2 linked regions of the Macaca mulatta genome follow. The protein of the gene in region 2 interacts with the protein of the main gene of each other region in a biochemical or structural test. Links are inferred from orthologs where the notes say so. Each region holds a gene or a part of one and is shown on either strand. Other genes may lie near its edges.

Region 1 (6,466 bases), on a different chromosome or scaffold from region 2:
TAGGCTGACAAATTCTGTTACGGGGCTGTCCAGTGTGTTTTAGGTGTTTAGCAACATCCCTGATCTCTGCATATTAGATGATATTAGCACTAACCCCAGTTGTGACAAGAAAGATGTCTCTAGGTAATGCCAAATATCCCCCAGTGGGCAAACTTGCCCCTAGTCGAGAACTGCTAAGCTAGAGCCCCATGATTCAACACATGTAAACTTCAATTTTACATAAATAAGAGAATTACAGTATGAATTATTCATATGAAGGTAAAAATGCGCAAACTGATAAAATAGAATGTTTGTATCATTTCCACTGGGAATGTCACAGGACTGATAATGAAGCTTCTAATCAAACTATGCTAATCAGCAGCATACTACCCAGTTTAAAAGGTACCCTTACTTCTACTTTACTCCACACGATTTCTTATTTGCCACCATCTTCTCTTTTTCTTATTGAAGTACATAAGAAATAAAAACTGTTGGGGATTCAAATAAATTTTTCTATATGCACAGTTGGTTATGGTTATATTATTACATATACTCTTTCATTTCAGATACAAATGATGTTAAAATCATCATGGGTTTATTTAATCATAGAATAAAAGTATTAAAGGAAAGTAGTTTTTTAATAAGAATATACTATAATTGTTGCATTTCTTTTTTTTAAGAGATGGAGTCTTGCTTCCACCTGCCAAGTAGCTGGGGCTATAGGTGCACGCCACCCATGTCCACCAGTTCTGTTGCTAATGCTTTTGTTGCTAGTTTGATAAGAATTTCATCAAGTTGCTTAAGTGTAATGAGCAACATAGATTATATTTTCAAATCATTCCCACTGGTCTTTCTTGGATTTGCTTATAAGTTTGTTGTATAAATAATAAAAATTACGTTTGAAATTACAGTAATTTTTGGACTATTTGTTATCTAGAACATTCTGGACAAATATTCAATATGTAAGGGCAGTATAGACCTTCCTGAGGATAAAATTTTGAAGAACAGTCACCTGGGAATAGGAATTCACATTAATATATAATTTAAATCAAGACCCCAGGTCACTTCCTAGACTTGAGGGTAGAGGACCTAATGCCTAAATTTCACTCCTCTTTAGGTGACTCTATTAATTGATGAAATGGCTATAACAGAAGTGACTGACTGATGTGCTACTTAAAAACAGCTAGAGGCTGGGTGCGGTGGTTGGTGTCTGTAATCCTAGCACTTTTGGAGGCCGAGATGGGAAGATCACTTGAGGTCAGGCATTCGAGACTGGCCTGGGCAACACAGTGATACCTAGTCTCTATAAGAAATAAAAAAATTAGCTGGGCGTGGTGGCATGAATGCAGTGGTGCAATCATAGCTCACTGCAGCCTCAAACTCCAGCACTCAAGTAATCCTCCTGCCTCAGTCTCCCTAGTGGCTGGGACTGCAGGCATGTGCCATCATGCCCAGCTAATTTTTAAAAAAATTTTATAGAGACAAGGGTCTTGCTGTGCTGCCCAGGCTGGTCTCAAACAACTGGCATCAAGCAATCCTCCTGGCTTGGTCTCTGAAAGTGCTGGGATTACTGGCATGAGCCACTATGCCTGGCCAACTTAAAGATACTGATTTGTTAAAATGATAATCTTTTTTCTTTTTTTAAGAAAGAATCTCGCTCTATCGCCCAGGTTGGAGTGCAATGGCCCAATCTCAGCCCACTGCAACCTATGCCTCCTGGGTTCATATGATTCTCCTGCCTCAGCCTCCCGAGCAGCTGGGATTATAGGCGCTTACCACCAAGCCCAGCTAATTTTTGTATTTTTAGTAGAGATGGGGTTTCACCATGTTGGTCAGGCTGATCTTGAACTCCTGCCCTCAGGTGATCCAACTGCCTCGGCTTCCCAAAGGGCTCAGATTACAGGCATGAGCCACCGAGCCCAGCCTGATAATTTTTTCTTAAATAAAATATATTTTAAACATTTTATAGATACTCTAAAAATGCTACCTTCAAGAGGCCAAAAGGCATGTAATTTAACACACAGTAACACCAAGTGTTACTGAATATATAGGCAACAGCGAAAATACTCCCAATTACATGTTCATATCACAGTAATTTTATATGATAGAGAACAAAATCAAGAGAAAAAATGTTTTATCATAGCTGGAAAAAAGACTATTTAACACGCAAGAGTACATTTTAACATAAATTATATCTCAGTAAACTTTGTAAGACTTAAGAGAAATTAAAGATTTTTCTAAATTCCAAAGACACAAAAATGAAAAATTTGCTACAAGTTACATAGGAGTTTTGGTCACCATTTTCAAATGTTATCAACTTAACCCCTTTCCTCTAAAAACAATAAAAACCTCAACTTACAAATTCCTTTTTCTGTAATTTCTGAAATGCTCTCATTACTAACAGGGTCTCATATTTCAGACATTATTTGTCGGCTTCTAACCATACATCTAAAGATCCATACTTACAAAGTCCTCCTCTTCAAACTGCAACTTTTCCACCTTGTCTTCTTTCTTTTCTTCCCTAATCTCCATAGGTGGCTTTTCCGCAAAAGCACACCCTTTTCGGGAGTGGAAGCTGCCATTCCAGTGGCGATGGTTCCCTGTGCCACCTCCGCTACGCTGGCTCATGCCATCATGACCTCGGGAGGAGCTATGCCAACCAGAAGGGTTCCCTGTGATTCCAGCATATGCTCCCTTAGAGACACCAGAGTCCACAGAATCATGGCGGAACAGGGAGGGCTGGTGCCAAGAATCTAGAATAGTAAAGAAAAGGAACTAATTACATTGTTTGCTTCCTGATTTGGTTTAAGGTATCGGCAAAAGGCCTTCAGGGGAACTTGTTAAAAAAAAGTCCACACACAAAAAAATCACAAAATGTATCTTTTCTTTGTGAGGTAATTTCTGAAATCAGTCCAACTGAATAGATGATTCACGAGAATCATAATCATAGTTAGACCTAGAAAGAAATGTAGTTGTGTAATGACTACTAGAGAATCTAAATGAAAACTATGTTCAGAAAAGATCCTATTTCAAGATTACAGACACATACCCACAGCCCGGGCTTGTCCTAAATGAGTAGCTTAAATATAGTCATGAAAGTTGGACACAGCTCACCTCCTGCAGTTCGTAGGAGACCATTGTTAAAAAAACCATCAGAGGAATTATGTCGACGGCGGCTTACTCCAAATCTACCTTCTCCTCTAGGCAGGTGCTCTCCGTGTTTTTCGAAGGTGGCAGTAGGTGACTAAGATGATGAAGTATGGAGAGGCAAATGGATAAACAGCTATTAGTCCCTTTCAATATCTTAATAGGCTTTGCATCAGGCCTTCAAAAAACAAGTAATAATGGTGATAGAAACCCCGTATTATAAACATATAGACCCTAAGGGTACCCCCAGGTGCCTAATTTAGAGAAGTCCTGGGTTATATATTCAATCATTAATTCACTTCCTTTATTCCAAATAATAAATATTGGAATAAATATTTATTCCAATAATAAATATTGGAGAGGAGAAAAGCTAGCCACTTCAATTGTTTGCATGAAAGGAGGGGGAGGGGAAAAAAAACCTTGCAAATATCTGTAAGTATAAGCTCCAAAACTTTACACTTAAAAATATTTATCTTGTAAGAGAGGAAAATCAAAACGATTGCCTCAAAAATAATCCTAAAGTTTTAGTATTTCTGGAATAAGGGTGAAGGCAATGGTTGAAATATCACCCTAGGAGGTCGGTAGTAATTACAGAGTTTTTTTTTTTTTTTTTAAAAAAAGTGATGAAGTCTCATGGTTGCCCAGGCTGGAGTGCAGTGGCACAATCAAAGCTCACTGCAGCTGCTTACCCTTGAGCTTAAAGGATCCTCCTGCCTCGGCCTATGGAGCAGCTAGAACTATTGGCCCATGCCACTAAGTCTGGCTAATCTTTTAAATTTTTTGTAGAGATGGAGGTCTCACTATTTTGCCCAGGCTGATCTCTCACTCCTGGCCTCAAGCAATCCTCCTGCCTTGGCCTCTCAAAGTTCTGGGATTACAGGTGTATGCCACAGCACCGAGCTACTAGAGTTCTTATAGTTTTATAAAACATTTATTTCCAGATATAATACTTGTAACAATATTAAACTTTTGGCATCATACCCATTTTACTCATTTACACACAATGAAAGAGGTCAAGAGAGAAAAAAATAAGTCTCTGAGGTAATAAAACTGAAAGGAAGCAGTCTGAGAAACTTTATAGATTAACTCTAATATCCCTTCCTATTTCAAAGAATTTTATTCTATGACATTCATTTTTTGTTTTTTGTTTTTTTTTTGAGACGAAGTCTCGCTCTGTCACATCGGCTGGAGTGCAGTGGAGCTATCTCGGCTCATTGCCAGCTCTGCCTCTTGGGTTCATGCCATTCTCCTGCCTCAGCCTCCTGAGTAGCTGGGACTACAGGCGCCTGCCACTGCGCCCGGCTAATTTTTTGTATTTCTAGTAGAGACGGGGTTTCACCATGTTAGCCAGGATAGTCTTGATCTCCTGACCTCGTGATCTGCCCACCTTGGCCTCCCAATGTGCTGGGACCACAGGCATGAGCCACCGTGCCCGGCCTATTCTATGACATTCTTAAATTATAGAGACCAAAGTCCATAAAGCCATGAAAATATGGGTATGTTTGGCACGGAAAACCTAAGTCAGAGCATGTTTACATTTACTTTTCTTTTTTTTTTTTTTTTTTGAGACGGAGTCTCGCTCTGTCGCCCAGGCTGGAGTGCAGTGGCGTGATCTCGGCTCACTGCAAGCTCCGCCTCCCAGGTTCACACCATTCTCCTGCCTCAGCCTCCCGAGTAGCTGGGACTACAGGCGCCCACAACCGCGCCCGGCTAATTTTTTGTATTTTTAGTAGAGACGGGGTTTCACCGTGGTCTCGATCTTCTGACCTTGTGATCCGCCCGCCTCGGCCTCCCAAAGTGCTGGGATTACAGGCGTGAGCCACCGCGCCCGGCCTACATTTACTTTTCTTACTATCAATATCCTTGCCAATATTTTACCCATTCGAGTGGGTAAAAAGATTTTCTCCTGTTTTCTCTTAAAAGTCTTACAGTTTTAACTTTTTAACTTATGTTCCATTTCAAGTTAATTTTTCTGTGTATGAAGCAAACGCTGAGGTTCTTTACCCTGCCCCCATACAGATAGAAGCTAGTTCTTCTAGTTCAAAAACACAACACTATCACTTCCTCATTGAATTACCTTTGTACTTTAGTCAAAAATCAACGAAATACATACATAAGCCTTTTCCTTGTTTTTTTAAAAGCCAAGGTCTCACTCGGTCATCCAGACTGGAGTACAGTAGCCCGATCATAGCTCACTGTGGCCTCAAACTCCTTGGCTCAAGTGATCCTCCCGCCTTAGCCTCCCGAGTAGCTGGGATGACAGGTATTCGCCACCACACCTGCCTAGTTTTTTTCAAATTTTTCTTGTAGAGACAAGGTCTTACTTTGCTGCCCAAGCTGGTCTCAAACTCCTGGCTTTCAAGCAACCCTTCTGCCTCAGCCTCTCAAAGTGCTGGGATTACAGGCATGAGCCACGGAGCCCAGCCTCTACAGGCCTATTTTTGAACTCACTATTCTATTATATTCCTTTTATGTCTATCCCCTTATGCCAAAACCACAGGACTTTGCTTACTATAGTTTTGAAAATGAAAGAATGTCTTCTAATTCTTTTTACTTAGTTCACTGTGCTAAAACAATTATTCTTCTCTGATAGATCTGTGTACTTCTCATGTAGCCCACTAGCTCCAAGCCTTGGGTCAGATTAGGCCAATTATAAGATCCTGCAAATTTCATTAATACAATTTGAAATTAAGTTTAGAACCGGGTGTGGTGGTTCACTGCTGTAATACCAGCACTTTGGGAGACTGAGGCAGGTACATCACTTGAGCCCAGGATTTCAAGACCAGCTGGGCAACATGGCAAAACCCCATCTCTACAAAAAAATACAAAAAATTAGCTGGAAGTGGTAGTGTACGCCTATAGTCCCAGCTACCTTGGAGGATGAGGTAGGAGAATCGCTTGAGCCAGGGAAGTCAAGGCTGCAGTGAGCCATGATCGCACCACTGCACTCCAGCCTGGGCAACAGAGTAAGACCCTGTCTATAAAAAAACAAACAAAAATCCCAAAATGAAGTTTAGGCTGGTACAGTGGCTCATGCCTGTAATCTCAGCACTTCTGGAGGCTGAGGTGACAGGATCGTTTGAGGCCAGTTCTAGAACACCTTGGGCAACATGGTGAGACTCTATCTCTACAAAAAAAACCAAAAAAGTTAGCCGGGCATGGTGGTGCTCGCCTGTAGTACCAGCCACTCTAGAGGCTAAGGTGAGGGGACTGCTTGAGCCCGGGAGTTCAAGGCTGCAATGAGCTATGACCATGCCACTGTACTCCAGCCCGGGTGACAGACACCCTGTCTCAAAAATAAATAAGTAAAAGAAAGTTGAAATAAAATGAAGTTCAAAGA
Region 2 (6,466 bases):
ACAGGTGCAATCATAGTGCACCACAGCCTTGAACTCCTGGGCTCAAGTGATCCTCCTGCCTCAGCCTCCCCAGTGGCTGGGACTATAAGTCCATGTCACCATGCCCAGATAAAGACATGCATTCTTCTAAAGAATATCCTGTTTACTCTCAATACATTAAACTAGCTCGTTTGATTTAATAAATGAGTTTTAACCTTGAAACTACTAGCCTCTTCCAAAAACACAAAAACACCACCAACAAAAAACTAGCCTTAACACTATAATATGATCTCTGATTCTCACAACCAAACCTTTTCCCCGTTACTTTAGAAAGAGATACCCACATTCTCTCTGTTCTTGCACAGGGACTGTATTGTTATAAAGGGGCTGATATACTTTGTTTGCATGGTGAAGTAACACAAAAGTTGGGGAGGAAAAGGAAGTTTGTTTCCTAAGAGTGACATGCACACACAAAGAAAATGAAAGTAGATATGTTAGAAGCAGCAAATATCACCCTCTAGAAGAAATGAGCAGAGAAGGGTCGCCAATTGTGACGGGTGGGCAGCCACACACACATACTCTGGGGACCCACAGCTTCTGCCACATGGCAGGAGGTCCCAGGGCCCTGGGCTTTGTGCTCCCAAGTACCTTCTCTGGCTTAGTGTCCCAGCACTCCATCATGAGTGCCTGCAATCGATGGAACTGCACTTCCTCCGGCTGCCCCAGAACTGGGCGGATGCCCTTGGACAGTTTCTTGGCAATCTGGAGCTGGTGGTGGCCCAGTGCAGGTCGCTGTCCTGACAGCAACTCGTAGAGCACCATTCCATAGGAGAACATATCTACCTGGGCACAGAATAAGCCAAGTCAGGTCCCTGCCTGGGCCCAGTGGCCTTCACTAGTTGGCCCTGAGGTTGACAATTAGACAAGGAAAACAAACATTCAACCAACCACCTGACCATGTCCCTCTGTCCATTTATCCATCCATCCTCCCAACTACCCATCCATCCACCCATCTGACCACTTTCTCTTCTATCCATTTATCTCTCCATTTTCTTACCCTTTCTTCTTTCCATCCATCCATCCATCCATTTGCTTGTCTTCCTGTACATTTATCCATTCTTCTCATCTGTCCATCCATCTGACCACCTGTCCTGCACATTTATCCATCTATCTTCCTATCCTTCCTCTTTTCCATCCACCCATCCATCTGACTTCCCACCATATCGTCCATTTGCCCATTGTCCCATCCATCCATCCATCCATCCATCCATCCATCCATCCATCCATCCATCCTTCCTTCCGTCCAATAAAACATACTGAGAACTTGCTGTTAGTCACTGATTAAGGACTCCAAGGAGGTCATGGTCCTTATCCGTGAGTAGCAAGACAAGGCAGGAAAACACATACCCTCAGCTTGATGTGCTTGGTACTAAAAGTGCTGTGTATGCAACTCATAAAAAAAGGAGTGTCTCCTGGATCACAACATGTTGCCTTCTCTAATTTTCATAATCATAAAAAGGTCCAGCAAGGAAAATTTATACAGACCCCTATAAGGGTCAAGAAATAATATTTTAGCAGGAGAATGGCTGAAATAGACTTGAGAATTTCAAATGTGAATGTTTCCATGATAATCTGAGTTTCAAGGTGACCTCCTTATTGAAGTCACCTACTATTGTGAAGCTCTTATTTTTGTTGCTTTGATTTGCCTTTTCTATCTTGGGCAACAGCCACAGGTGCTGAGCTAATCCACACATGCACAGGTCATTCCTACAGCAATTAGTCAATGACCATCTGAAAAATCACCAAATAATAAGAAATTATAGACAAGAGAATTTTAATGCTGGGTGATTAATTAACAAGGCTGGTACTAGATGCAATACATGCATGGTAAGATGACTTTAAGTTGTCTGTGGGCCTGCATCTACCAAATAGCCATCAGGGATAAATGTTATTAGAAGATCAATATTTAGTCATTGTCTCAACTGAGGCTGGCAGCGCAGTTGCCTGGGGATGCCAGCTTGTCCTTTCACTCTTCTCCTGGTTCGGCATTCAACTTGGCCAGCACCCTGTGACCAGGACTTAAGGACAGGGGTCTTTACCGTCCTTATTCTGTCTACTCCTCCTGAGTGCCCTGCAAGGCTGGTCCTGTGTCCTCATTGTGCACATCTAAATGTGAGTTGGAGCCCAAATCCAGACGTGTTTCTGTCTTGGACTCTTCATCTGCTGTTTACAGCCTCTACAATGTTTCTGAATCAAGGTTTGAGAACTCTGAGGCTAAGGAGAAGTCAATCTTGCTACAAGCAGACAGACATAGGCCCCTGCTCCCTTCTGGTTCAAGCCAGAACCTCCCTCATGGAGCAAGGGAGAGGGAGAAAAATGTGCTTTTGGGGATGCTGAGCCCCGAAGCTGCAGGTGCCTCCAGGAATGCCTGGCTAGCCTCAGGGCTGGGCTCCTGCATTGTGGGGCTGGGCCAGGGGATCCAGGCAGATACCTTCTCATCATATACAATTCGAGGCCTGATCTCTGGGGCCTGGTAGCCAGGAGTGCCCTCCACGCCTAGAGCACCCTCATGGAATGACTGCCTCGAAATCCCGTAGTCAGATAGCTTGATGTTGATGTGCTCCTTGACGTCAAGGGACCACACCAGAATGTTGTCCGACTTCAGGTCGCAGAAGATGATGTTTTTCTTGTGCAGGTAGGCCAGGCCCGAGGCAATCTGGTAGGCTATTTTTTGGGTGAGCATGTGTCCCAGCGGTATGAAGGAAGAATCTTGCAAAGAAAAACAATTTTCAAATGTATCAAAATTTCAGTTTTGATAGAATCAAATTATCATGATAGCAACTGTCTTTTTGTCTTCCTATCTCCCTAGATACTATATATTCTTTTTTTCTTTTTTCTTTTTTTGAGACAGAGTCTCCCTCTGTCACCCAGCCTGGCGTGCAGTGGCACGATCTCAGCTCACTGCAAACCCTGCCTCCAGGGTTCAAGCAATTCTCATGCCTCAGCCTCCCAAGTTGAGTAGCTAGGACTACAGGCACATGCCACCATGCCTGGCTAACTTTTGTATTTTTAGTAGACATGGGGTTTCACCATGTTGGCCAGGCTGGTCTTGAATTCCTGGCTTTAAGTGACCTGCCCGTCTGGGCCTCCCAAAGTGTTGGGATTGCACATGTGAGCCACTGCACCTGGCCCCTAGATACTTTATATTCTATTGACACATTCTCACTATTCACCAGACTGCCAGAAGGGGCAGAGAATGGCCTGGTTAAGTGAAATAGTATTTAGGATAGAAGTGCTCATCACTATAGCTTCATTCATGATACCTTATTCCTGGAATTGCTGGCAGTTTTGCTGAATGAGCAAGGATTCGAAATCTCTAGAGTTCATCTCAGGTCAAGGCTGTCCTACGTAAAGGGGTCAGTTGCAAGTAGAAGAATTTTGTTTGGCTGGGTGTGGTGGCTCATGCTGGTAATTCCAGCACTTTGGGAGGCTAAAGTGGGGGGATCGATTGAGCTCACAGTTCGAGAACGACCTGGGCAACAGGGCGAAAGGCCATCTCTACAAAAAACAAAACAACAAATTAGCTGGGTGTGGTGGCATATGCTTGTAGCTACTGGGGAAGTTGAGGTAGGAGGATTGCTTGAGTTCAGAAGGTCAAGGCTGCAGTGAGCTGAGATTGCACCACTGTACTCCAGCCTGGCCAACAAAGCAAGATCCTGTATGAAAAAAATAAAATAAAAATAAAATAAAATAAAGAATTTTGTTTAAAAAATTATCTTCCATTGAGGCGGAAGTGATTCATTTTAATAGCATTTCTTCTTCCCTAGTCACCCTCTGGCAACTCTGGAGTTTAGTTGCTCATTTCTCAACGTAAATTACTTTAACGTTTTATTTTAAAATATAGTATGGTCCCACTGATCCTAGGATCTGAGTCTCAGCAGTGGTGTGCATGTGCAGTTAAGAAAGTGATTTAATGCAGCTCATGTGCTTGGTGCCCTCCCAGAGAGGATGTTATCATCCTCCTTTTATAGGCAAATAAACTCAGCAGCTTCCTGGACTGTGGCAGAGCCTGGTCTTAGCCGACTCCACAGCGTGCCCTCTGCCGTCCTCGCCAAGGCTCTGCCCAGTGACTGGACCTGGCGAGGTGCCTGGCCTCACACCCAGGGGATGGTCACACGAACCATGGGTTGGGTGTGCCGTGGGCTTGCCAAGGCCACCTGAGGCTCTACCCCTGTGCCAGGCAGGAGGCCCTTGGGGCTCTGTTGGTCTCAGGAGCTGGGTGGGGCGGCGCACCGCGGTACCTCTGGCGTTCTCGGACAGCACGGTGTTGAGGCTGCTGAGTGGCGCGAGCTCCAGGGCGAAGCAGAGCGGGTGGATGCTGATGCCGATAAGCGCCACAATGCAGGGGTGCTGCAGCGCGTGCAGCATGCTGGCCTCCTGCCGGAACTCAGAGAAGTTCTTCATGGCGTCCGTGGCCCGCAGGTGCCTCAGCATGGTGTCTGCCGTGGAAAGCGCAGTGTCAGCCAGCAGGACACGGGGTGCCTGCAGCCTCAGGTCTCTCTAAGGTGGCACAGAGCTTAGACCCGGGCAGCATATGTCTGAGAAAAACAGCACCAACCTGGGACCCGCTTACCTGCCGGGACATTAGCAAAGTTCTTGAATTTTTTGATGTGGAAGCGCTTGACAGCTACGGGCTGGCCCTGGTACCGGGCCCGGTAGATGACGGTGCCACTGCCACCCTGGCCCAGGACGCTGCCCTCGTCCTCGCTGTGCTCCAGCTTGCTGTTCTCCAGGAAGAGCCTGCCACACACACTTGGCATCAGCCACATCGCCCCGGCCCTGACGCAGGTGGGTCCTGGGCTGGGTCATTTGTCCCCATGGCCGAGAGTCATGGTTCAAAGCCATCTGTGAGGCTGGACAGATCTGGGCCACCCCGGCCCTGCCACTTGCGGGTGGGCACACCTGGGTGGGTTATGGAGGCTTGCTAAGCCTCAGTCTCCTCTGTAAAGTGGGCTCAGGACCCGAACAGCCTCAGAGGTGATGATGGCTGGTACAGGGTGAAGTCCACGGAAGTGGTGGCCATAGAGAAAGGATCCCTTTGGAAGTTTTCTTCTGAAAGGTGACGTTTCCTATTTCCTCCCCAATTCTCTCCCTAGTTATCATCTTGGGTTAGCATAGGTAGAATAAACTCTAAGAACAGATTTGAGGGGTCCAATGCTGAGCACTAGGGTTACAGATAGGAGTCAGCGTTTGACAAAGGAGGTAAACAAGGCTCTGGGTGGGAGCTCTCCCCTTCCTGAATGCCCGAGGAGTGCCGGCTGTGCTTATCTGCTGGCCCAGGAGCTGGTGGGGAGGTAGGACTGGAAAGGAGAGGCAGCTCAGGAGAGAGCAGCTCTGGCTACGAGGGGAAGGGGGAGGCATATGGGGAGACAGGATGGCTGCACTTGCAAAGCGCTTTTCCCAGCTGGGCCTACCAAGGCCTCCAAAATGGAAAGCCAGCAGCCTGTACCCTTCAGGCAGCCGAGGATGGGAACCTAAAAAGCTACTGAGATTGGTGGGAAGTGATGGCTGGAGCATCTGCCAGCTCCGGAGGGGTCTTCCTGGAGATCACTTGGCAACTGCACAACGAGGAGCGCCCCCTGTGACCTGCACTGTGTTCTGGGAGGGGCCTTCGGGGTATACCTGGCCGGGAAGTCGGTCATGAACAGTTCAGGGACCAGCTCCTGGAGCGGCACGGGGAGGTCCGGGTGTCTGGGACAGGAGATGAAGTCCCGCTCGATGGCTGTGAGGACGCAGTCTTCCATGTCGAAGTATTGCACACCCTCTGATTTCTCACTGGGGTCTGTGTGCTGGGCCCAGGCTATCTCGCAGACTGGGCAGGGCACATACTGCTCCATGAGTGGAGTCCCGTCACTCTCTGTGGCCGTCAGGGCTAAATAAGGACAGAGCAAGAGACAGCTTCACAAGAAGGAGGTGCAGGAGGGCCCCTGAGCAGCACTCTGTACCCCAGGCCCCGAGGCCTTCACAGCAGGGGAGTTGCCTGTCCTGGCCTGTACCCGAGAGACAGGCCGAAACCCATTGCCACATTCAGGTGCCTTTTTGGAGAGCGCAATTGTTTGTCCTGAAAGATGCGTCTAGGGAGGGTTCAGGATGCTTCTGAGAACTGCCCAGTGGTCGGGACCCTGAGCAGGCTGGCTGGGGGGCCTGAGAGGAGGGTGGGGATCCCTCCTGCATGACTGGGCCCTAACAGGTCATTACAGACTAGGTCTGAGCTATCCTCCAACAATCACAGCAGTGTGGAAACCACTCTTCCTACAATTAGAAACATCAGGTTTGCAATGTCTATGAAGGGCAATGCAGGGGGAGAAATGAGTGCAAATTATCACAGACAAAACTGAGTCAGTGGACATGGGTTCCCTCCCACGCCTCTGATAGGAGGTGCAGAGAAACACCCTCCAAGGTGCCCTGTGGAGGTGCCCTCAGGGCA

Evidence for each region.
Region 1: the proteins of LRRK1 (region 2) and GPBP1L1 form a complex in vitro, tested with the Homo sapiens proteins (2 studies listed by BioGRID and IntAct, with this or other methods). The link is inferred for Macaca mulatta from reciprocal best matches to the Homo sapiens genes LRRK1 and GPBP1L1.

Annotation. Positions count from the first base shown.
Region 1 is NC_133406.1:194,949,662-194,956,127, reverse strand, and holds part of GPBP1L1 (vasculin-like protein 1), read right to left. Parts: intron 3,224-6,466; coding exon 3,094-3,223; intron 2,733-3,093; coding exon 2,446-2,732; intron 1-2,445. UniProt on the Homo sapiens protein: Possible transcription factor.
Region 2 is NC_133412.1:91,421,163-91,427,628, reverse strand, and holds part of LRRK1 (leucine-rich repeat serine/threonine-protein kinase 1), read right to left. Parts: intron 5,912-6,466; coding exon 5,662-5,911; intron 4,780-5,661; coding exon 4,613-4,779; intron 4,479-4,612; coding exon 4,281-4,478; intron 2,749-4,280; coding exon 2,471-2,748; intron 823-2,470; coding exon 628-822; intron 1-627.